Macaca fascicularis: one gene and its partners. The protein of the gene in region 2 purifies or fractionates together with the protein of the main gene of each other region. This does not show direct contact. Links are inferred from orthologs where the notes say so. Each region holds a gene or a part of one and is shown on either strand. Other genes may lie near its edges. The genes, in order: CHM, RAB5A, RABGGTA, GDI2 and GDI1.

Region 1 (3,510 bases), on a different chromosome or scaffold from region 2:
TTAAAAAGTAATCTCAATTAGAATAACCACAAGTGCAATTAAATACCTAGGAATTAACTTAATTAAAGAAGTGTACAATCCCTACAATGAAATCTAGAAAACACTGATGAAAGATATTGAAGAGGACACAAAGAAATGGAAAACTATTCCATGTTCATGGACTGGAAGAATCGATATTGTTAAAATGTCCATACTATGCTAAGCAATCTAGAGATTTAATGAAATCTGTATAAAAATACCAATGGCGTTCTTCAGAGAAATGAAAACACCCTAAAATGTATATGGAGCCACAAAATACCCAGAATAGCCAAAGCTATCCTGAGCAAAAAGAACATAACTGGACGAATCACATTACCTTACTTCAAATTATACTACAGAGCTATAGTCACCAAAACAGCATGATACTGGCATAAAAACAGACACATAAACCAAAAAGCAGAATAGACAACTCAGAAACAAATCCACACACCTACAGTGAACTCATTTTTGACAAAGGTGTCAAGAATATACACTGAGTAAAAGACAGTCTTTTCCATGAAGGGTGTTGGGATAACTGGATATCCATATGAAGAAAAATGAAACTAGACCCCTATCTTTTGCTGTATATAAAAAGCAAATCAAAATGGATTAAAGAATTAAATCTAATGCTGCAAACTATAAAATTACTACAAGAAAACATTCGAGAAAACCTCTAAGACACTGGTCTGGGCAAAGATTTCTTGAACAATGCCCCACAAGCACAGGCAACTAAAGCAAAAATTGACAAATGGGAACACATGAAGTTAAAAAGTTTCTGCACAGCAAAAGAAACCATCAACAAAGTGAAAAGACAACCCATATAATGAAAGAGAATATTTGCAAACTACCCATCTGACAAGGAATTAATGACCAGAATATATAAGTAGCTCAAACAATTCTACGGTAAAAAAATATAGTATGACTAAAAAATGGGCAAAAGATCTGAAACATTTTTCAAAAGAAGACATACAAATGGCAAGGAGACATATAAAAAGATGCTCAACATCACTGATCATCACAGAAATGCACATCAAAACTACAATGAGATATTTTATTGCCCCAGTTAAAATAACTTTTATTCAAAAGAAAGGCACTAGCAAATACTGGCAAAGATATGGAGAAAAGGGAACCCTTGAACACTGCGGGTGGGAGTGTAAATTACTACAACCACTGTGGAGAACAGTTTGGAAGTTCCTCAGAAAAGCAAAACTAGAGCTACCATACGATCCAGCAATCCCACTGCTAGGTATATACCCAAAAGAAAGGAAATCAGTGTATCAAAGGGATATCTGCACACCACATTTATTGCAGCATTGTTCACAATAACCAAGATTTGGAAGCAACCTAAGTGCCCAGCAACAGATAAATGGATAAAGAAAATGTAGTGCAGTTACACCATGGAGTAATATTCAGCCATAAAAAGAATGAGATCCTGGCTGGGCGCGGTGGCTCACGCCTGTAATACCACCGCTTTGGGAGACGGGTGGATCACGAAGTCAGGAGTTCACGACCAGGCTGGCCAAGATGCTGAAACCCCATCTCTACTAAAAATACAAAAATTAGCCAGGCGTGGTGGCACACCTGTAATCCCAGCTACTCAGGAGGCTGAGGCAGGAGAATCACTTGAACTCGGGTGGCAGAGGTTGCAGTGAGCCGAGATCGCACCACTGCACGCCATCCTGGGTGACAGAGCAAGACTCCATCTCAAAAAAAAAAAGAATGAGATCCTGACATTTGCAACAATGTAGATGAAACTGAAGGTCATTACATTAAGTGAAATAAGCCAGCCACAGAAAGACAAACAATGCATAGCCTCACTTATTTGTGGGAGCTAAAAATTAAAACAATTAAACATACGGAGACAGAGAGTAGAAGGATGGTTATCAGAGCCTGCGGAGGGTTTTGAGGGGGCAGCGGTTAAGTGGGAATGGTCAATAGGTACAAAACGTAGTTAGAAAGAATGAATAAAATCTAGTATTTGATATCACAACAGAGTGACTACAGTCAATAATGATTTAATTGTACATGTTAAAATAAAGAGTATAATTGGATTGTTTTCAACACAAAGGATAAATGCTTGAGGGGATGGATACTCCATTTACCATGATGGATTACACTTTGCATGCCTATATTAAAGTACCCCACAAACTTATATGCCTCCTATGTGCCCACAAAAAATAAAATTTTTTTTAAAAATGTGTAAAACAAACAAAAAAAGACACAACAAGTATTTCCTGAAGATAAAACATGAATGGCCAGTAAACACATGAGAAGAGGCGCAACTTCACAGCTAATTAGGGAAATGAAAAATAAAAATCCAATGCAATGATAATTTATATGAGTTAGATTGACAAAAAAATTTTAAATACTGGCAAACATGAAAAGCTTTGGGTATTCTTATGTACTGCTAAAAGGTTATAATTGGTACAGCCCTCTAGAGAAATAACTGAACACGATGTTGTAAAGCGTTGACATTCGTGTATCTCATGACTTGGAAATTCCACTCCTAGATATGTTTCCAAGAGAAATTATTGAATATATATAACTTGAAATATTCACAAGGGTGTTAACTGCAGAAAAACTGGAAACATCCTGTGTTACATCAACAGAAAAATGAAAAAGTAGACTGTGGTATATTCACAATAAAATATTATGTAGCAATAAAAATTAACTAAAATTATATGCAATGACAATACTTTCCATCACGCTATTGAGTGGAAAAAGGAACTTATAGTATTTTTATAAAGCTCAAAAACAGGCCACACTGAATATATCACTTAGGTGGGTAGATAGCCAGGTATATCAATTATAAAAAAAAAAATAAAGTATATATTTGCATGTACTAAATCTTGAATAAATCTCATTTTTGCGTTCCTAATTCTCACCTGTTATTTAAGTATCACCTTTAGAAGGGACAAGAAAACCAATGGCAAACTTACCTGCAGAAACACTGGGGGAGTTCTCCTTGGCCATACAAAGGAAACAAAAATGGAGTGTTGCCATATCGCCCAAGACAGTGAAGAAAGTTTCTGGTAGCTTTGAGACCATCTATGGTACTGCTGGCTGTCTCTGATGTCATTGCAATTGAATGCAGGACAATATATTGGAGGTTGGGGGTTAATTTTTGAGTTTTTAAATATTCATAAAATGTAATATCTTCATATCCTATGAAAAGATGAAATTTTATCACTTAAAATCAGAACCAAACTTCTATTTAAAAGCACCCCACAAAAAGGAGATGAAGTGTGTTTCAAAAGACCTCAAAAAGGACGTAGGTGGTATTACATTTTGGACACTGATGGTTGATCTTAGAAAAAAGTGGAAACAATCTCGCTCTCCAATTTGGAGTAATGGCACAATTTTTAAGCTTTATATGATTGAGCATTTCATGCATTTAAAAAAATGGAAAATATTAAATAACTCAATGGGTTACCATATTTGGCAATAATCTCACTTTATTGTTATGAAACCTGCAGGATAATGCCAATAATG
Region 2 (4,214 bases):
ACAGAAATGCTAACAGTTGTTCTCTATGTGGTGGGATTATTACTGACTTATTTACTTACACTAATTGTAACTTTTTTGTAGTTTTTAGAAGAAAAAATGCATGACTTTTTTTTTTATTATGAATTTTTTTGAGAAAGGGTTTTGCTCTCTCACCCAGGCTGGAGTGCAGTGGCATGGTCATAGCTCACTGTAACCTACACCTCCTGGGCTCAAGCAATCCTGCCACAACCTCCTGAGTAGCTGGGACTACAGGCGCTCAGAACCATGCCAGGCCACTTTTTTGGTAGAGACACTGTCCTGCTATGTTGCCCAGCATGATCTTGAATTCCCGGGCTCAAGCAATCCTCCTGCCTCAGCCTCGCAAAGGGCTGGGATTACAGGTGTGAGCCACCACACCCAGCCTGCAGGCCATTATTTTTTATTTAAACAACACATTAAAAAATCTAGCCTGAATGGCAACTTCTGTGCTAATTTTTAATCTCTAAGGAATTAGTGAATATTTGAAGAACCTTTTTCAATCCACTCACAAACCAATCTTAACAGTTTCCTTCTATCTTTAATCAAAATCCGAATATATGCTAATATATTAAACCTGATGATTCCCTCTCTAAAAACCCTGCTATATTTCACTTAGCTACCTCATGTAAGAAATATGTCTTTCACACTGGACACAGTGGCTTATACTGGTAAATTCCAACACTTGGCGGTTGAGGAAGAAGGACTGCTTGAGACCAGCCTGGGCAACAGTGAGACCCTGTCTCTATATTAAAAACAAAAGAAAGAAATACGCCTTTCCCATAAAATCAGTTTATAATATGCTCTTGATACTGAATTCCCTAACATGTCCACGAGATCTTAGTTCTTAAGGCAATAAAACTACCTCCCTGCCTTAACTAAACACCAGCTTTCTAGAGTCCTTATCTTTTACCATTACATTCTGAAATATGTACAGATTAATTGAGGTAATATCTGAGTTGCTTCTAAATAACGACATATAAATAAAAATCCCCCTCCCCACAAACATACCAGACTTGGGGGTCTAATCCTGGCTATACCAATTTCCGCCTGGGCAAATTCTTTAATTTCCAAGTCTCTATTCCCATAATATCTAACTTGCATAGCTGCTGTGACAATTAAATGAAACAATACATGTAAACAATCTCTAATAAACATAGTAGGGATTGAAATTGTCAATAACGTGGTCCTTTGATAAGAAAATATCTAGAGAACATCATATGTACTGAAAATGCACCAATACAGCTTCAGATATTACACAAGCAGTATCAATTAAAACATTTTCCATTTGTCTTTTTATCTACAAAAACACGAAATTACTTATCAAGGACAACATGCTCCAAATTTCTACGGTACTTTCAAAATTTCAGGCAAAACATCAGATTCCCATAAAAAAAAAAAATCAAACAAGATTCTGATTTCACTTTGACTTTTAAGGTTTAAAGTTACTTAACTGTGGCTACTCCCCTTGAGGATCTCAAACAGGAAATAACTAGAGTTAATAGTAAATACACACTTAGCATAACACGAAGGTTAAAAATTACGTGTATTCATTTGTATTCACTGCTTACTGAAACTTGTTTTGCAAAACAAGAATTTTGCATAATATACATTTGTAATCTTTTGAAAATAACTGTTATTCATTCTATAGTTAAAATCCTTCTAAGTGTTCTTTGATCAAAAAATTGGGCACTTATTTTGTGCCAGGCACTGTTTCATGTACTTTGCTTACACAAATGCTGAGTTATCATTTCCATTTTACTTTAGGAATAAAGTTTATGAGCAGTCTTGAGTATTCCCAGAGATGTGCAAGTGTTTTTTCTTATTATGTAAAAGGCAACTGATTGAACGCTTTGATTCCACTTAAGCAAGACAAAAACCAAGTATGTGAACTATGACGTTCAGAATTTAAAAGTTTGAAAGTCTCAGAGGTAAACAGCTTCCAGGAAAGATAACATCAGAACAAGTTTCATGGTCACTACCCATTGAAGGAGTTCAGCGGTCCTGTTATCTCGAATTTATTTAACGCTGTAGTTCACTACCTTCCATACATAAGACAAGAGTCTCTAGACGGCCCATTTTGACGAGTCTCCCACCCACCGACACTACACGTCTTTGGAAGTTGCAGGTAGGCGGAGCTCCCCACATTCACACCTGCAGTAGGCCCGGGTTCCTGCTTGGAGAGCACCAGGGTAGCTTATAGCCAACTCCAGATCGCCTGGATAAGCACCACTCACCAGGTCCCTTGGCCTTTCCAACCTCCTCCCCCGAACCTGGCTGGCTTTGACCGAGACCCCCAGGACTGCCAGCACAGGGACCAGGCGGAACCGCGGCCTCCAGTACACTTTCCACGGCGCCATCTTGAGAAGGGAAAGGGTGACACCCGTCGCTCCCTCAGTCAGTCCCCAAATCCCGGTCTCCAGAGCCCCTTGAGGATGAGTCACCAGGGCTGGCAGAACAAGACGCCGGGTTCGATAGTTCTCTGGTCCAGGCTACTGCTGCGCATGAGGGAGAAGGGGCGGGGGTCTTAGTACCCGCAGGGCCGCGGACAGGCTGGGGATCGCGGATAACCTGGGGTCCAGACCCCCACTGCGCAGGGGGAGAGGCGGTTCGGTTACCTGAGACCGCAGCAAGCCGGGCTGCGGGGCCGAAGCTTCCTGGCACCAAGGCCCAGGCGTGGCCCGTAGGATGAGTGTGTGTCTATGGCGGTGGTGGTGGCGGCGGCGGCGCCGTCTGCTCTTCGCGTCGCTCCCCTCACACTGGACTGTGCGGGGCTCTTGCCGTGGTGCCGCCCCTGTCGGGCTCCGTCTCCGCCTCTCGCCGCTCCGCCTTCCTCTTTCCTTTCCCCTCCTCCGCCGCCGCCGCCGGCGCTGGAGTTCCGACGAAGTCTTCCTCCTCCTCCTCCCTCTGCCTCCTCCCCTAAGGCCAGCCGCCGGCTCCTTCACGAACCAAAACACAAACACTCAAGTCCCACCGCCGGAGCCACTTCCGCTGTCCGGTGTCGGCCCCGCCGCCACGTCGCCGCACGCAGCGAACTACGCCCCTTCGTCACTTCCCGTCATCGCCAGTGCCCCCGCTCCATCCGCTTCCCCGCCCCTTTCCGAATCCCTCCCCGCCCAGGTCTGTTCGCGGGGCGGGGCGAGGCAAGATGTCACGTGACCCTGCGAGTGGCTCTGACCGGAGCTGGCCGCCTTTCTCCCCTTCCCCCACCCCAGGTACACGCGGCCACGCCCTCTCCAGCGCCATTGTTATTTGGGCTGGGGGGGTCTCTGGGCTCCCGGCGGCCGGGTTCGGGGGAAATTCTTTTACTATGCTTTGGGGGAAGACCAAAATATCTTATTTTTTTGTTTGTTTTTTGTGCCCAGCCCTTGTGGGAGCGGCAAGGTTCCCTCACCCCAATCCTGGCACCTCGTCGAAGGGGCTTTATTAGAGAGAACTTGTCTAGCACTAGAGAACCTCCCCCCAAAAAATGTCCCTGGGGTTGGGTGGGTCGGTAAAGGCTGGTAAAACGCATTTACCCCAAGTAGGAAGAGAGGACCCTTCCTATCCTAAAAGCCGCCTTTAGGCGCCTGACAAAAGTCGCTTCTATTAAGAGTTTACGTGGTTTTGGTAGGGGGCGGGGAGGGCCAAATCCTAAAATAGCATCTACCTTTTATTCAGAATCTCTCTTCGCTCTTTACTGTACTAAATGCTTTACAGGAATTATCCAATTGAATTCTTACGCTAGGAGTCTTTCATTCTGAAACTAACTTGTTAATCGTTTGTTCCCTACATTCGAATTTTAGTTCCCCTTGGTTGTCCTCACCGCTGTAAATCTGTGTCCAGCCCAGTGCCTGGCAGCCAAGTTTTCAGTTCTAGTTGTAGATATTTTACAGGTAAATAATTTGAGACACAAGAGATTGAGTAACTTGTCCGAGATCACTGCTGTGTGGTGCCTAAGCTGGATTCTGATCTGCGGGTTGGCTCCAGAACATGAGTTGTTGAACACAATTCTGGTGAAAGACTACCCGAGACGTCGTTACCCTCCTCGGGGGACCTACTGAAGATGTGAATCCCATACCATAGTCAGTCTCTGGAAAGGCTTCTGCCACCAACCCCTCCCCAGCCTCCGCCAGAAACATTGTTTTGGTAATTTGGTAGAAGAATATTAAATTGATTTTCCTTCAGAATAAAGGCAACTTTTCAGTTTGCAGTTTACA
Region 3 (4,232 bases), on a different chromosome or scaffold from region 2:
TCCTCCACTCTACAATCAGGGGAGAATCATCAACCATGAGCAGCAAGATCTCCGTCCTGGAGCCCACCTGGCACAAAGCACAAAGACAGACTTCAGCCCCATCAGCACCAGGCCCACAATCCCACAGTGCTCTTGACAAAAGCTGTAGGACTTACTAGGAGGGGCCGAGAGAAGGAGATGGTCAGACAGGCCTCGTCCCGGCTCACATGCAGGCAGCGCAGTGCATCCTGGGGGTCAGCTGCAGGGAGACACAGTGTCAGATTTCCTTAAACCCTCTCCCATTCCTACTAAGCCCTAAACACCCAGCCCCTTTCCTCAATGCTTACCTCGGCCTAGGAGCCAACGGTGATAAAACCAGGCACTCTGGTCATTGGGGTCAGTGAAGAAGGCATTCTGCACCAACTCCAGCTCTGTAGGTTTCCGGGAGGCATGGTGCTGTGGTCAGGACACTGGTGGGCTCCTGGCCACTCCAACACCCTACCCTCTCCTTGGAGTACTTCCAGCCCCCAGTGTCACTTATATGCTGTCCTTGCACAGGGGCTATGTATGTCAGTTTTATCTTCCCCATCAGACACTTGAGCTCCCTGCAGTCAGGGACTGATTCTTAGGCACCCCTGGAGCCAGGCATGAAGTAGGTGCTCAATAAACCTGAGACAGGTTCAGGAACAGGGTCAGGCATGGGGACTGGAAGGGTGGCACTGCAGAGTCCTCCCTTCTGTAGGAAGGAGGACCCCTCACCCTGCTTACCTTTGAGCAGCACATCCTCAGGGAGGCGCCCCTGTGGTCCAGAATCCGGCTGGGGGTGCAGCTGGGGCAAGAGACAGGAGCGGTAATGCCAGGACGAGTAGTTGGAGAAGTTTCGGGTGATGAGGCTGTCAGTGAAGGCTAGCTCTTCTGCAGGGGGCACGGCTGCCTGTGTGGCCACAAACCGCCGATAGTCCCAGCAGTGAACTGGAGGGGAGAGGTGACAGCATATCTTAGAGGCAAGGCAAGAGGAGCTACCTGGCTGGGACCCCTAGAGTCCCCTCAGAGAACTCCTAGAAACACTTCAGTGCACTCCACGGAGGAGGCATTTGACTCCAACATCCCTTTCAGCACCAGCTCAGTGGACCCATCCTGGATATCCCTCCCCATTCTGGGCCTTACTGAGGCCCCAGTACCAGAATGTGGGCAGGTGAGGGCTGTGGGGACAGAATCTGCAGGCACGTACAGTTCCGCTCATCCACCTCCAGGAAGCGGGCACAGAGCTCCAGCTCTCGGGCCCAGTTGGGTTCAGGCAGGCGGCCTAGCAGCCAGCATCGGTGGTGCCAGGTGCCATAAGACTTGGGGTTCACCCGCAAGCAGCTCTCCAGGAAGCCCAGTTCTGCCTTCACCAGAGCAGCCAACTCTTCAGGAGACCTGTACCCCGAAGGGAAGGGGGGTCAGGGCTCTCCTACACTCAACCTCAGCTCATCCCTCACTTTCTGCACCCAGCCCCCTACTGTCCTCCATCTATGCCACTGGCTGCCCCATTCCTCCTCCACCCCTGGACCCACGCAGTGTAGGCGCAGGGCCAGGGCAGTCTTCTGAGATCCTGAATCCCTACGCACTTCTGAGTCTCCAGCTGCTGCAGCACCTCTCGTCGGCAGTTCCAGAGGGTGGCAAAATCAGGGTTGGCTCCCAGAATCTGACTTGTCAGTTCCAGCACTGACTCATCCAGCTCACCAGCCTGGCGCTGAGAAGATAGGTGGCAGGGTCAGAGATCATATCACTTTCCCACCACAGGACTAAATAACGTAAACTCAAAACCACCCAATATTCTGTGAATCCCACATTATACAACAGATACTATGAACCATGCTTTATGGCCTTACAGGTATTCTCTCATTTAATCTTCACAACGGCCTTATGCAGTAGGTGCAATTATTAGTCCCATTTTACAGATGTGCAAACTGAGGCCCAAAGAGATCCAGCAACTTGTCCAAAGTCATACAGTTATAAGTGAGAGAACCCAGAACTGGATCTAGGCAGTCTGACTTTAGGGACCAGCTCTTGGCCTCCATACTATACTAAGAGAGCTACTTGGGGTCGGGGCTACCTCTGAGGGCCCCACCTTCTGGAAGACGGCCTGGGTGGCTGACTGGTATAGCTTCAGCTTCTGCTCTCGTTCTAGCCTTTTGGCCTCCGCCTGCTCTTCTGACGTCTTCACCTTCAGGCGTCCGTGCTATAAGGATGAACGGGTTGGAAGAGTGCAGGTTGCCTTGCAGGAGCCGACCTGCAAAAGCCCCACACTGTGAAGCCCTAGGTTCATACGGGGCAACCAAGTGCACGACCACTGCGGGTGAGGGCGCGGGCGTGCGGAGATGAAGGGCTGGGCTCAGGGTTCTCACCATGGTGCCGGCTCAGGGTTCAAGACAGGGGAAGGGTCCAGTGGTAGCCCTCGAAGTCTGAGGAGAGAGGTGTCAATCACGTAGCCCCGCCCCCTACTAGCACCGCCCACAGCGGTTTCCCGGAAGCAGCAAGCGTGCCTGGGCAGAGACCCCTAGGGTGTAAAGAGGTCCTGGGACAGGCTTTGCACATTCAGCAAGAGGCGAACACCCGTACTAGAACTTCCATCCGTATGGCCCTTCCTACAGCCCGATTCGCCCGGGCCAGAGCCCGAGCCGGGGCACCTGGGCGTTAGGGACCACTCTGCGCACCAAAGGTTGCCGCTCCCCGCCCGTCCCACGGCTCCCGGGCACCCCCGCCCCCCGCGGGCGGACCCACCTGCGCTGGGAGGAGGCGCGGGGGATGCGGAGCTGCGGCGCCCGCCACAGAGCCCAGGCGCTGGCTAGAGCGGCGCCACGTCCTGGCTCACCGAAACGCAGCGCCCTCTGCAGGCTTGGGGAGGGACTTGCGACGGAGGAGGCCGGCTCGGAGGCGCGTGCGCGGGGGCTATGCGCTCGCTGTCTGGAAACGCCTCGTACCTGTTAGCCACCTAGTGTGTACGAGTGCGCACGCGCGACTGTACCGTGCGTGTGAAATAGTGGGGAGGACCATGCCAGTTGGCAACTCAAAATGTAGTGTAGTTAGTGGAAGAGGTTTCTCCAACAGCCAGAAACCCGCACCTTCACTACTCCACTGACCTCACCCTGGCCACACCGACACCCTTCTATATGTCAAATCTAACAGGTGGAGTTGCCTGTCATTTTCTCTAACCTCTGAAGCATTTGACCCACTTCTTTATACTTGACACCCCCATCCTGGCTTCTCCTCCTGCATCTCTGCCTCTCTCTTCTCATCTGTTCACCTCCACCCCTAAATGTTGGTGATCTCCAAAGGGTCCTTTCCTCACTGCTTTTTCACTTCACACACTGTTCCTGGGAGAATGTTTAAGCGTTCAACTGCTTCGAGTTGGAGCTCCTCAGAGCTGTTTTGGCCCACAAATCTGGCATTACACTTTCCCTGGGTGAGTTCATTCACACTCATTGTTTTAATTACTACCTGTAAATTGATGACACCCAAATTTATATCTCCAACCCAGATGTCTTGCAAGCTTAAATAACAATAAATAATATACATCACATACATATTCAAACACCTATTGGATATCACCTGGTGTCCCAGAGACACCTCAAACTCCAAAAGCCAAAAGGTATAAATTTTCTCTCATCCATCCTCTCTAAACATTGGCCTTTACGTTTTCTATTGTAGTGAGTGGCACTATTTCCTCCTCACTTCTTAAACTCGCTTAAATACTCTATTCCCACTGCCACTAGAAGTTCAAACTCCGAATTTCTTATCCAGATTGTTGAAAGTCTTTTCAATGTTCTCCACCTCATCCCTTGTTATCAGTCCATCCTCTGTGCTGCTGAATCAATTTTTCTAAAATGCAGATTTGATGTCCTATCTCTGCCTGAAAGTGCTGAGTGGCTCTTTTTCAGGATAGAATTGTAATCTCTCAGCTTAGCACATCAGACCTACTGGCATTTGGGCTCTGCCTACTCTCTGGCTGTATGTCCTGCCTGACCCTGCCAAAAACCCTTCATGACAGCCTACAGAAATACTTGAAGTTTCCTAAATGTGTTAGCCTGTTCCCTCTCCTTGACTCTCCTTTCTCTACACTCCTCCTTTGCTGCAGTAAATCCTGTTTAAGATTTAACTTTTTGAACTCCACAGAACAAAGAAAAAAAATTTAACTCAATTGGCACCTCGAGGAAGTTCTCTAAAATGCCCGTCTGATTTGATAGACCTACATATGTACTTTCAAAGAC
Region 4 (4,029 bases), on a different chromosome or scaffold from region 2:
ATTTGGTGACAAATATACACAATCAAATTAAGGTTGAATATAAATTTAAACTTTACTTTTGCTTTCTTCTCCCCTCCCCTTGCAAAAGGTCCATGGTCCAATATAACACATCTTCTCCAAGTATTTACGGGTTAAGAAACATTTTTAAAAGTTGTTACATTCTCTCCTCAATCTTGATGATTTAAATATGAGCAAGTTCGGTCTATCAAGGCAGGCTCATGATAGCTATTACCGAGAAGTATTTGAGTAGTTCTTGAATGCCAAATCTTCATTGTCTGCTGACTATGCAGATTTATCACGTGCTGAAAACACAGGTTTTCCAACTGTCATCGCCTTTAGGAAATTCACCTGCCTAGGCTTTCGTGGGATTTGCCTCTTGGAGCTGAGAACACAGCTTCTGCTTACACCCGTGTCCTCAATGAAGTTAGAGATTCCTAAGAGAATTCTAGAAAAAGAGGAGGGGGTTAGAAGGCAAGCAAGGTAGTTTCTAAGCTTAGGGCCTAAACCTTTGCATCCAAGGATCAGCTACCACGTTTACAGTGGCTTTAAGTTATAGCCCTGGGTAAGTGCGGATCGGCTTCCCAATGAAACCTGGCCTTCACTTTCATCTCCGTTAAGGGTTCCTTTTAGCAAAAGAAGCCGCTTTTCCTCCTACCACTTTCCTAAAGCGCCCACCGGCAACGCACCAAACAGGGAAGGCACAGAGCGGGAAACAGGACACGTGTGATTTCCGAACTCTTCCCGGCGGGCTCCGGGCCCCGGCGAGCCCAGCCCCGCGGGAGGAACCAAGGCCGCTACCCGCGAGAGGCGGCCGGACCCACGTTCCTCGCCCACGTGGCCGCCGCACGCACCCGCTCAAAGTCCAAGGACGGCGGTCCGGCTCTGGGACCTTGGACCGAGCGAGCTCCCGCCCCGACGGCGGGAGTCAGAACCGTGGTGGCCGGCAGTACTCCCCTCCCGCGGTCCCGTGCGCCTCCACCCCGGTCCACGCGCCGCCTCCCAGACCCCGGTGGCAGAAACCGCAAAGGGAACCGGAAGCCAAAATGGCGACGCCCCGCCCTTTTCCTCTCGCGAGAGGCGGGGAAGAAAAAAAGTTGGGCGAGTGACGGGGACAAAACCAATTAGAGTGCCGGAAGCGCCTGATTGGCGGCCCTCCCGGCGCCTGCAGGCCCCGCCCCGGCTGCGGAGGCTCAGTCACCGCCCTCCCCTCCCTGCCCCCTCCCCTTTTCTCCCCGCCCGGTTCTTCGCTTCCCGTCTGAGGTGGCGGCAGGTCTCGCCTTGTCGCCAGCTCCATTTTCCTCTCCTCTCTTCCCGTTTCCTTCGCGCCCGAGAGCGCCTGCCAGCCTCGTAGGGTGGTCACCGAGCCCCTGCGCCTTTTCCTTTCTCTGGTTCTGCGTCCGCGCCTGCCCCGCCATGAATGAGGAGTACGACGTGATCGTGCTGGGCACTGGCCTGACGGTGGGCGCCGGGGCTGAGGGGCCGGGGTTGAGCAGCCGGGGCGGGCGCATCCCCGGCTCCTGCACGGCCCGCGGGTCGCAGCTCCTGGGGGCTTTCGTTCTGCAGTCACCCGTGGTTTTCGGGACGGGAGTCGTGGCTGGGGGCACGGGCGGGTTTGGGGGCGCCCCGCGTCCCGGGACGATCGGGCGACTCCCAGTGTGAGGGGCAGGCGGGGAAATGGAGATGCGGGCCGCGAGGCTCCGGGCGGGGTAACGGCGGAGCCCGGTCGCTGCGCTTCCCCCTTGCGGAAGCGGAGTGGAGGGAGAAGGCGGCCCGGGCCGAGGCTCCCGCTCCCCACTTTGGGCCAGTGACCTCTCCGGGTTGGAAACTAGCACCCGAGGCGGAGGGGACGGTGCAGGCCTCGCGGTTGCATTTCCTATTCCGCCTCGGCCGCTTCCCCGGGTCTGTCTGGCTGCCAAAGCCGAGCACGGGGTTTCCTGACAAGTCTTGGATAATCACTGCTTCGGAACTGCTAGGGCTTGATTAACTTATATTTTTGGAGAAAAGGCAGAAATTAGGCTTTTAATCCTTTCTCCCCCCTGCTAATAAGAAGTATTATTGAATCTTTTTAGCCACCCTCCCTTCCCACTTACCGAGCATCTGTAGAATTGGAATTGAGTTTTTTCAAAACTTGTCTATCAAATGCTTTCGCACCTGACCTTCGCCGCCTTTTCCTTTTGTTTGGTGGGTTCCCTGCCTCCTTTGTCTCTTCTGGACTCTTTTCCCCTAAGAATTGGATTGGTGATGGATTGCTAAAGGCCAAGTTCTCTGTACTCCGCAGCTTTCTTCAGGGAGTTGGAAGATAAATCAGTAACAACATGAAGAATGCATTGTAGTATATATATGAATGCAAGGTGTACCTAATACCATGGTATATTGATTTTCCTGGTTATGTGTCTGCTTAGAGAGCTTTAGGTTAACTGTAGATAATGCAGGCAGGTTCTGTAGTTTGTACTTTTTCTGTTTTTTTTTTTTTTTATGAAGACTTCATCTTGCAAAAGAATTTGGAGAAAACCATTTTAACTATCGATTTTTGGGAACTTTGAAATTCTAACTTTGGGCTGCTTGATCATAATTAAGATGAATACTGATGTAAATCTTGTGTATCCTATGTACTCTGACTTTAAATTCCTGTGTCATTTAATGTAGACTTCCACTTCAAATTTTTTGAAATTTATTATAATCTGTCAGGTTCAAACTAATGTTTTTTTTTTTTTTTTTTTTTTAACAGGTAACATCCCAAAATAACACTTTCAAATGTCTCTAGTCAAGAAAAAACCTTTGAACTTTTATTTGGCTAATTTTTTAAGAAAGGTTTGTTAAGACTTAGAATGGTGTTTTTCTGGCCTGTCATTTTTCTGTTTATAGTTATATGCAATTATTAGAGAATATTCATTCAGAATACTTTGTTATGTTTGACAAATTGAGGAATAATCCTGTCAATGTCTTTGAAAAGCTGGAAGACTGTTGGATGCCTAAATGAATAGGCCCTACCCACTGCAGGTTTTGTGCTTTTTTTTTTAAGTGCCTAATTGGGATTCCAAACTGCGCTTAGTAGTTTGTGGTGGATTTTGCCCGTTGGAATGGGTAGTGCTGCTGCCAGCGTGTTGTTAGAGCCGGTTAGTTCCACCGTTTTTCTATGGTTGTTGCTGGTCTTTCAGATTTGCTCACAATCGAGGTCAGTTGAGCATGGACGAGTGAGTGCAAATCCACCATCATGCAGGCTTCCACAAGCCCCATTCACATCACTTTGTATCAAAGATGGTGAAACAGTCTTTTTATATAACAAGTTAAGATAATGCACTTCGTTTAAATTTTCATTTGGATTGTGAACTTTTTGATAAATGGTAGATGCATACTTAACTAGAAATCAGACCAATTTCTGCTGTCATTTTGTAGCTGTGATAACTTTAATCTCTGTTAGCCTGCCTAAGTTTTCTGAGATGTTCTTTGATAATTATATCAATTCAGAAGAATCACATTATTACCATCCTTGATAGGAGTAGTGATGACAGGATGATTTTGATAATGAGAAATCTTATATCCTTATTTTTAGTGTTACCAGGAATTAGATGACTAAAAATTAGAAGAAGAGAAAACCAAAGTTAGCACTCAGAATTAACTTTTGAGTGTCTGAAGTTAAATTAATTTTCTTGAAATTTACTTTATATTTAGTGCCTGAGATTTAAGAACCTAAAAAAGGCAAGTGCTTTCAGTGCTAGGAACTTGTTACTTTTAAAGAAGTGTAAGGAAGTGCTGGAGTTGCTGTGTTGCTTAGTGCTGCCATTGTTTGTATGAGTTGTTAAGTCCAAGCTCGTAATCACAAATATTGATAGTCATTTTAATCAAGAAGATACAAAATGATTTGGCATAAAGGAGTAAAATCTTCATTCTGTGTGTAAAAGAAATGGAATATTCCACACAATTTAATTTTCTGAGGAATTAAGGGTTATCTCTAAAGAGCACAGCTTTTGGATAATGCCTTTCTAAATGCTGTCACAACTTCTCTAACAAACTAAGAAACATAATTTA
Region 5 (3,955 bases), on a different chromosome or scaffold from region 2:
GAGGTTCTGCACCAACGCAGCACAAAACTCTCCATCTCAGCAGGGCAGGCACCCCCACTCCCAGCCCAGCTGTCCTGTGACCTTAGGTTAACCTCTCCACCCTTTTTAGCCTCAGTTTCCCCACCAGGATGAAGAGGGGATTGGCCTGGATGGACTCTAAGGGCTTTCCTGGCTTGGACACTTGGGGATGTCTTGAGGATCCAGTGGAGCCCCTGCCAAAGGCTCAAGTTTTCTTTGTTGTTGTTGTTTTTTGAGATGGAGTCTTGCTCTATCGCCCAGGCTGGAGTGCAGTGGTATGATCTCGGCTCACCACAACCTCCACCTCCCGGGTTCAAACCATTCTCTTGCCTCAGCCTCCCGAGTAGCTGGGATTACAGGTGTGTGCCACCACACTCAGCTAATTTTTTGTATTTTGAGACAAGACGGGGTTTCACCATGTTGGCCAGGCTGGTCTTGAACTCCTAACCTCGTGATCCACCCGCCTAGGCCTCTCAAAGTGCTGGGATTACAGGCATGAGCCACCGTGCCTGGCCACGCTCAAGTCTTTCAAAAGGAGTCCCGTTCCCCTCCACGTCACATCCCTGCTGCGTGGGGACCTCCCTCTTGGCAGCCAGCCATGCGGCATGACATGGGGCAGAGGGAATACAGAGTGAAGGGCCTCTGGTCCTTCATGGGGGAATGTGACTTTGGACAAAGGGGTGCCTTACTCTGGACAGCCACCCATCCCAAAGACAGTTGGCTTCCCTGCCACCCCATGATTTCTCTGGCTCAGGGGGCCCACACTCACTGGAAGCCAAGGCCTCAGTCTCAGTGGACGGCACTTTGTAGATCTTGCCCCCCTTGTAGACAAAGCTGCCCTCCACCACCTTGAAGTCCAGGTAGCGAGTCACTTCTGTATACAGTAGCATCTTTACCAGCTGCCCTGTGGGGGTGCACAAGGGCAACATCAGCACGGCTCTCTCCAGAGGTTCTAGCTGGTCTGGCTGTGCCTCCTTTGGAGCCTGACTGTCCTTAGGTCTTCCCTATCACCCCCGACCTGCAATACCTCCTTCCTGTCCCTCACCGTTAGCCATGAGGAATTTGGGAATCAGGTCAACGTTCCAGTCTCGGCCTCGGCCCATGGACTCAGGGGGCCCCTCCAGCAACTGAAAACGCTTATACAGCTGTAAGCAGAAGGGAGAGAGAGACACCTCAGGGACCACCTCCTCCTGCTCCAGGCACCTGGAGAGCTACTTCCACCCTGTGCCGCTGTGTGGGAGGTTAACAGGGATGGGCCTGGGCCCAGGCAGCCTCACCTCCTCCAGGGGTGTGATGGAGGAGCTCTCGCCCCCGTAGTAGGGGTTCCGGTCCATGTGCAGCACCTTCTTCCCGTTCACAGACATGATGCCCGACAAGATGCATTCCTGGGGGAGGGCCACACAATCCGCTGCACTCCCACCTTCCTCTGCTCCTACCAGCAGCCCTGATTTGTTCCCCACCCAAACCTGCCTCAGTGGACAGCTCCTTCCATCCACCACCCCCACCGGCTAGTTGCCTCGCCTAAAATTGGGGTGATGGTTTCATCCGACCACACTCTCCATTGCAACCTTGCGGGGTAAAGGAGACCGTCCCCCTCACAAGGCAGACAGTGAAATAACGGAGGCTTTGAGGTAGGCAGGGCATCCAGCAGACACAGGATGGCCTTCCAGTACCAACACGCCGAGAGGCATCTACCTACGCAGAGCCGCACAAAAAGGCGGATAAAACACAATGTGGCACAGAGGGGACCCAGCTGGACTGCGAAAGACACTCCAAAGGGAAGCAAAGAAAGGCTTAGCACAGTCCTTGAAATTGTAGGCCCCACCCTGGACTGCTCTTTCTTCAAAGAGCAGGAGCCCCTGCCGCTGAGGAGGGGCATCTGGGTCTGGACCGAGGGAGAAGAGTCTCTGAGGGGAGTGGGCCAACGGGATTTTCGGGGAAAGGGGGAAGATAAACACCCTCACCAGTCACTGTCACTAGCCCAAGGACAAAGGCTGCAGATGCTACTCAGCCTGAGGTCTCCATGGGCAACCGAGGTGGGGTTGCGGGAATGTGCTTACTGCCCCCACTGCTGCTCCTTCTGGAACATTCCCTGGATCCCCTGGCCCCAGAAGACGACGAGGGGGTGGGCTGAGAGCCCACCCTGGCGAGGCCCCCTGACCCCAGGTCCTTGTACTTCATCCTCACAGGGATTAGCGCAAGATGGGAAGGGACGCTGGGAGGCAACGCTAGGCGGGCGATGGGTGCGGGCGACGGGTGGATGCCGTGATGGGTGGGGGCGATGGGTGGGCGGGGTGGGGGCGATGGGTGGGCGGGGTGGGGGCGATGGGTGGGCGGGGTCGGGGGCAACGGGCCGAGTGGGGGTGCGTTTTCCGGTCCAGAGGGCAGGGGTAGGGAAGATGGGAGAGCGCCGGGGGTCGGACCCGGGTAGGCCAGGGGGCGGCCAGGAAGGGGGCCCCTTCGGGGAGATGGGGTCATGGCAACGAACAGAGGCGACATCGCGGGGGGAGCAGCGGGGTGGGCACGGCGCCGGCTTTTCGGGGAGCCGAGCGCAGAAGATGGCAGTGACCGGAGGATGGGCCGGCGGCCGCATCATCGCGGGGAATGGCGAGGGCACGACGCAGGGCCAAGGGCGCCCGGGGCCGCACTTACGGTGAGGCCGGTCCCCAGCACGATTACATCGTATTCCTCGTCCATGGTCAGGCCTCAGTGGCAGCGCCCGCTCGGCTCCTCCTCCTCCTTCACCACAGCAGTAGCCACCGCCGCCGCCGCCACCGCACTGGACCAAAGATGGCGGAGCGTCGGCCGCCGCCCGACCCCTCCGCCGCGTCAAAGAGTCCCGCCTCTTCCCGCGCCCCGCCGCACCCGGCAGGGGACACCGCCTTCCCGGCTCGCCTCCCGGGAGGGCTGCCAGGGCCCGGGCCACAGCACCAGCGCGGCTCCGCGGGCGACGTTGCTCGCCGAGAGTCCAGAGAGGCTCGGGGCGGGGCGGGCGGGGCGGGCGGGGCGGGCCGGCGGCCGGTGCTGCGGCCCGGGAAGGATCCATGCGCGGGAGCCGGGCGCGCCCCGCCCCGCCCCGCCCCGCGCGCGCCCGCCCCGCCCCCCGGGAGTCTCGGCGCGGCCCCGCGACCGGACGCGCGCCGCTGCGGCAGCCGGGGGCGGCTCCCTCACGACGCGAAGGCTGCCATTGTCACTACGGCCTCCTGAGACGCCGAAGCGCACCGGGACTCGGCCCGACCACCCCTCCCTGACCTAAGCGGTTAGGGCCCAGCTTACTAAAGCCCCTCCCGGTCTCCGGGGATGCCTCCTAGCCTCCCCCTCTCCAGGCTCCATCCTCCCGCATACCTCTGGCGAGCACGCGCCAAAAGCTCAGCGCAGAAATGAGCGACAAGAGGCCCAACGCATGGCGATCCTCGTTTACTTTATTAGGAAGGAAACAACCGAGCACCCCCTGCTCCTGCCAGGCACTTCCGGTGGGAACATGCCAGACAGCCGACGATCGCACCCAGCCCACCTGTGGAGGTGCCTTCCTTCTCAGGCCACAGAAATAAACCCCAGTGTACTGCTTATTGTTAGCACAACATCACCAGAAAACGATAACGACAGCCAAGCAGGACAGTTAAGTAGAACTTCCACACCCCAAACTCAGGGAGCCCTATAACCTTAAGGAGGGAGCATTTGCTACACAAAAACACTATCCACAGCCAGGGATGATGTAGACACAAGAATAAATAAGGAGAAAGGGGACCCTAGAATTCATGTCCCTTACGCCTCACAGCGACTAAGCCTGGAAAGCTGGTTGGTCTAGCATCTACGCAGAATATGTACACCTTGTTGGGAGAGATGGGGGCAGCCCAGGAAAGCTCCTCAGCAGGCTGAAGAGGGAGCAAGATGGGCTGAGGGGAGCTTGGGGTTCATGCTGCGGTAGGAAGAGGGA

What was found.
Region 1: the proteins of RAB5A (region 2) and CHM purify together in Homo sapiens (affinity purification with mass spectrometry; 3 studies listed by BioGRID and IntAct, counting the BioPlex papers as one, with this or other methods). This does not show direct contact. The link is inferred for Macaca fascicularis from reciprocal best matches to the Homo sapiens genes RAB5A and CHM.
Region 3: the proteins of RAB5A (region 2) and RABGGTA purify together in Homo sapiens (affinity purification with mass spectrometry; 3 studies listed by BioGRID and IntAct, counting the BioPlex papers as one, with this or other methods). This does not show direct contact. The link is inferred for Macaca fascicularis from reciprocal best matches to the Homo sapiens genes RAB5A and RABGGTA.
Region 4: the proteins of RAB5A (region 2) and GDI2 purify together in Homo sapiens (affinity purification with mass spectrometry; 3 studies listed by BioGRID and IntAct, counting the BioPlex papers as one, with this or other methods). This does not show direct contact. The link is inferred for Macaca fascicularis from reciprocal best matches to the Homo sapiens genes RAB5A and GDI2.
Region 5: the proteins of RAB5A (region 2) and GDI1 purify together in Homo sapiens (affinity purification with mass spectrometry; 3 studies listed by BioGRID and IntAct, counting the BioPlex papers as one, with this or other methods). This does not show direct contact. The link is inferred for Macaca fascicularis from reciprocal best matches to the Homo sapiens genes RAB5A and GDI1.

What each region holds. Positions count from the first base shown.
Region 1 is NC_088395.1:92,559,646-92,563,155, forward strand, and holds part of CHM (rab proteins geranylgeranyltransferase component A 1), read right to left. Parts: intron 3,184-3,510; coding exon 2,958-3,183; intron 1-2,957. UniProt on the Homo sapiens protein: Substrate-binding subunit of the Rab geranylgeranyltransferase (GGTase) complex.
Region 2 is NC_088376.1:28,478,195-28,482,408, forward strand, and holds the start of RAB5A (ras-related protein Rab-5A), read right to left. Parts: upstream 2,718-4,214; 5' UTR 2,253-2,717; exon of another isoform or gene 2,160-2,252; intron 1-2,159. Other genes in the region: uncharacterized protein, read left to right, coding at 2,718-3,230, 3,891-4,058. UniProt on the Homo sapiens protein: The small GTPases Rab are key regulators of intracellular membrane trafficking, from the formation of transport vesicles to their fusion with membranes.
Region 3 is NC_088381.1:92,086,106-92,090,337, forward strand, and holds the start of RABGGTA (geranylgeranyl transferase type-2 subunit alpha), read right to left. Parts: upstream 2,801-4,232; 5' UTR 2,746-2,800; exon of another isoform or gene 2,508-2,745; 5' UTR 2,373-2,507; coding exon 2,370-2,372; intron 2,255-2,369; exon of another isoform or gene 2,204-2,254; coding exon 2,093-2,203; intron 1,715-2,092; coding exon 1,536-1,714; intron 1,399-1,535; coding exon 1,211-1,398; intron 952-1,210; coding exon 748-951; intron 411-747; coding exon 327-410; intron 239-326; coding exon 156-238; intron 68-155; coding exon 1-67. UniProt on the Homo sapiens protein: Catalyzes the transfer of a geranylgeranyl moiety from geranylgeranyl diphosphate to both cysteines of Rab proteins with the C-terminal sequence -XXCC, -XCXC and -CCXX, such as RAB1A, RAB3A, RAB5A and RAB7A.
Region 4 is NC_088383.1:6,738,708-6,742,736, reverse strand, and holds the start of GDI2 (rab GDP dissociation inhibitor beta), read left to right. Parts: upstream 1-1,220; 5' UTR 1,221-1,413; coding exon 1,414-1,458; intron 1,459-4,029. UniProt on the Homo sapiens protein: GDP-dissociation inhibitor preventing the GDP to GTP exchange of most Rab proteins. By keeping these small GTPases in their inactive GDP-bound form regulates intracellular membrane trafficking.
Region 5 is NC_088395.1:160,436,955-160,440,909, reverse strand, and holds the start of GDI1 (rab GDP dissociation inhibitor alpha), read right to left. Parts: upstream 2,811-3,955; 5' UTR 2,716-2,810; coding exon 2,671-2,715; intron 1,404-2,670; coding exon 1,296-1,403; intron 1,164-1,295; coding exon 1,064-1,163; intron 923-1,063; coding exon 788-922; intron 1-787. UniProt on the Homo sapiens protein: Regulates the GDP/GTP exchange reaction of most Rab proteins by inhibiting the dissociation of GDP from them, and the subsequent binding of GTP to them. Promotes the dissociation of GDP-bound Rab proteins from the membrane and inhibits their activation.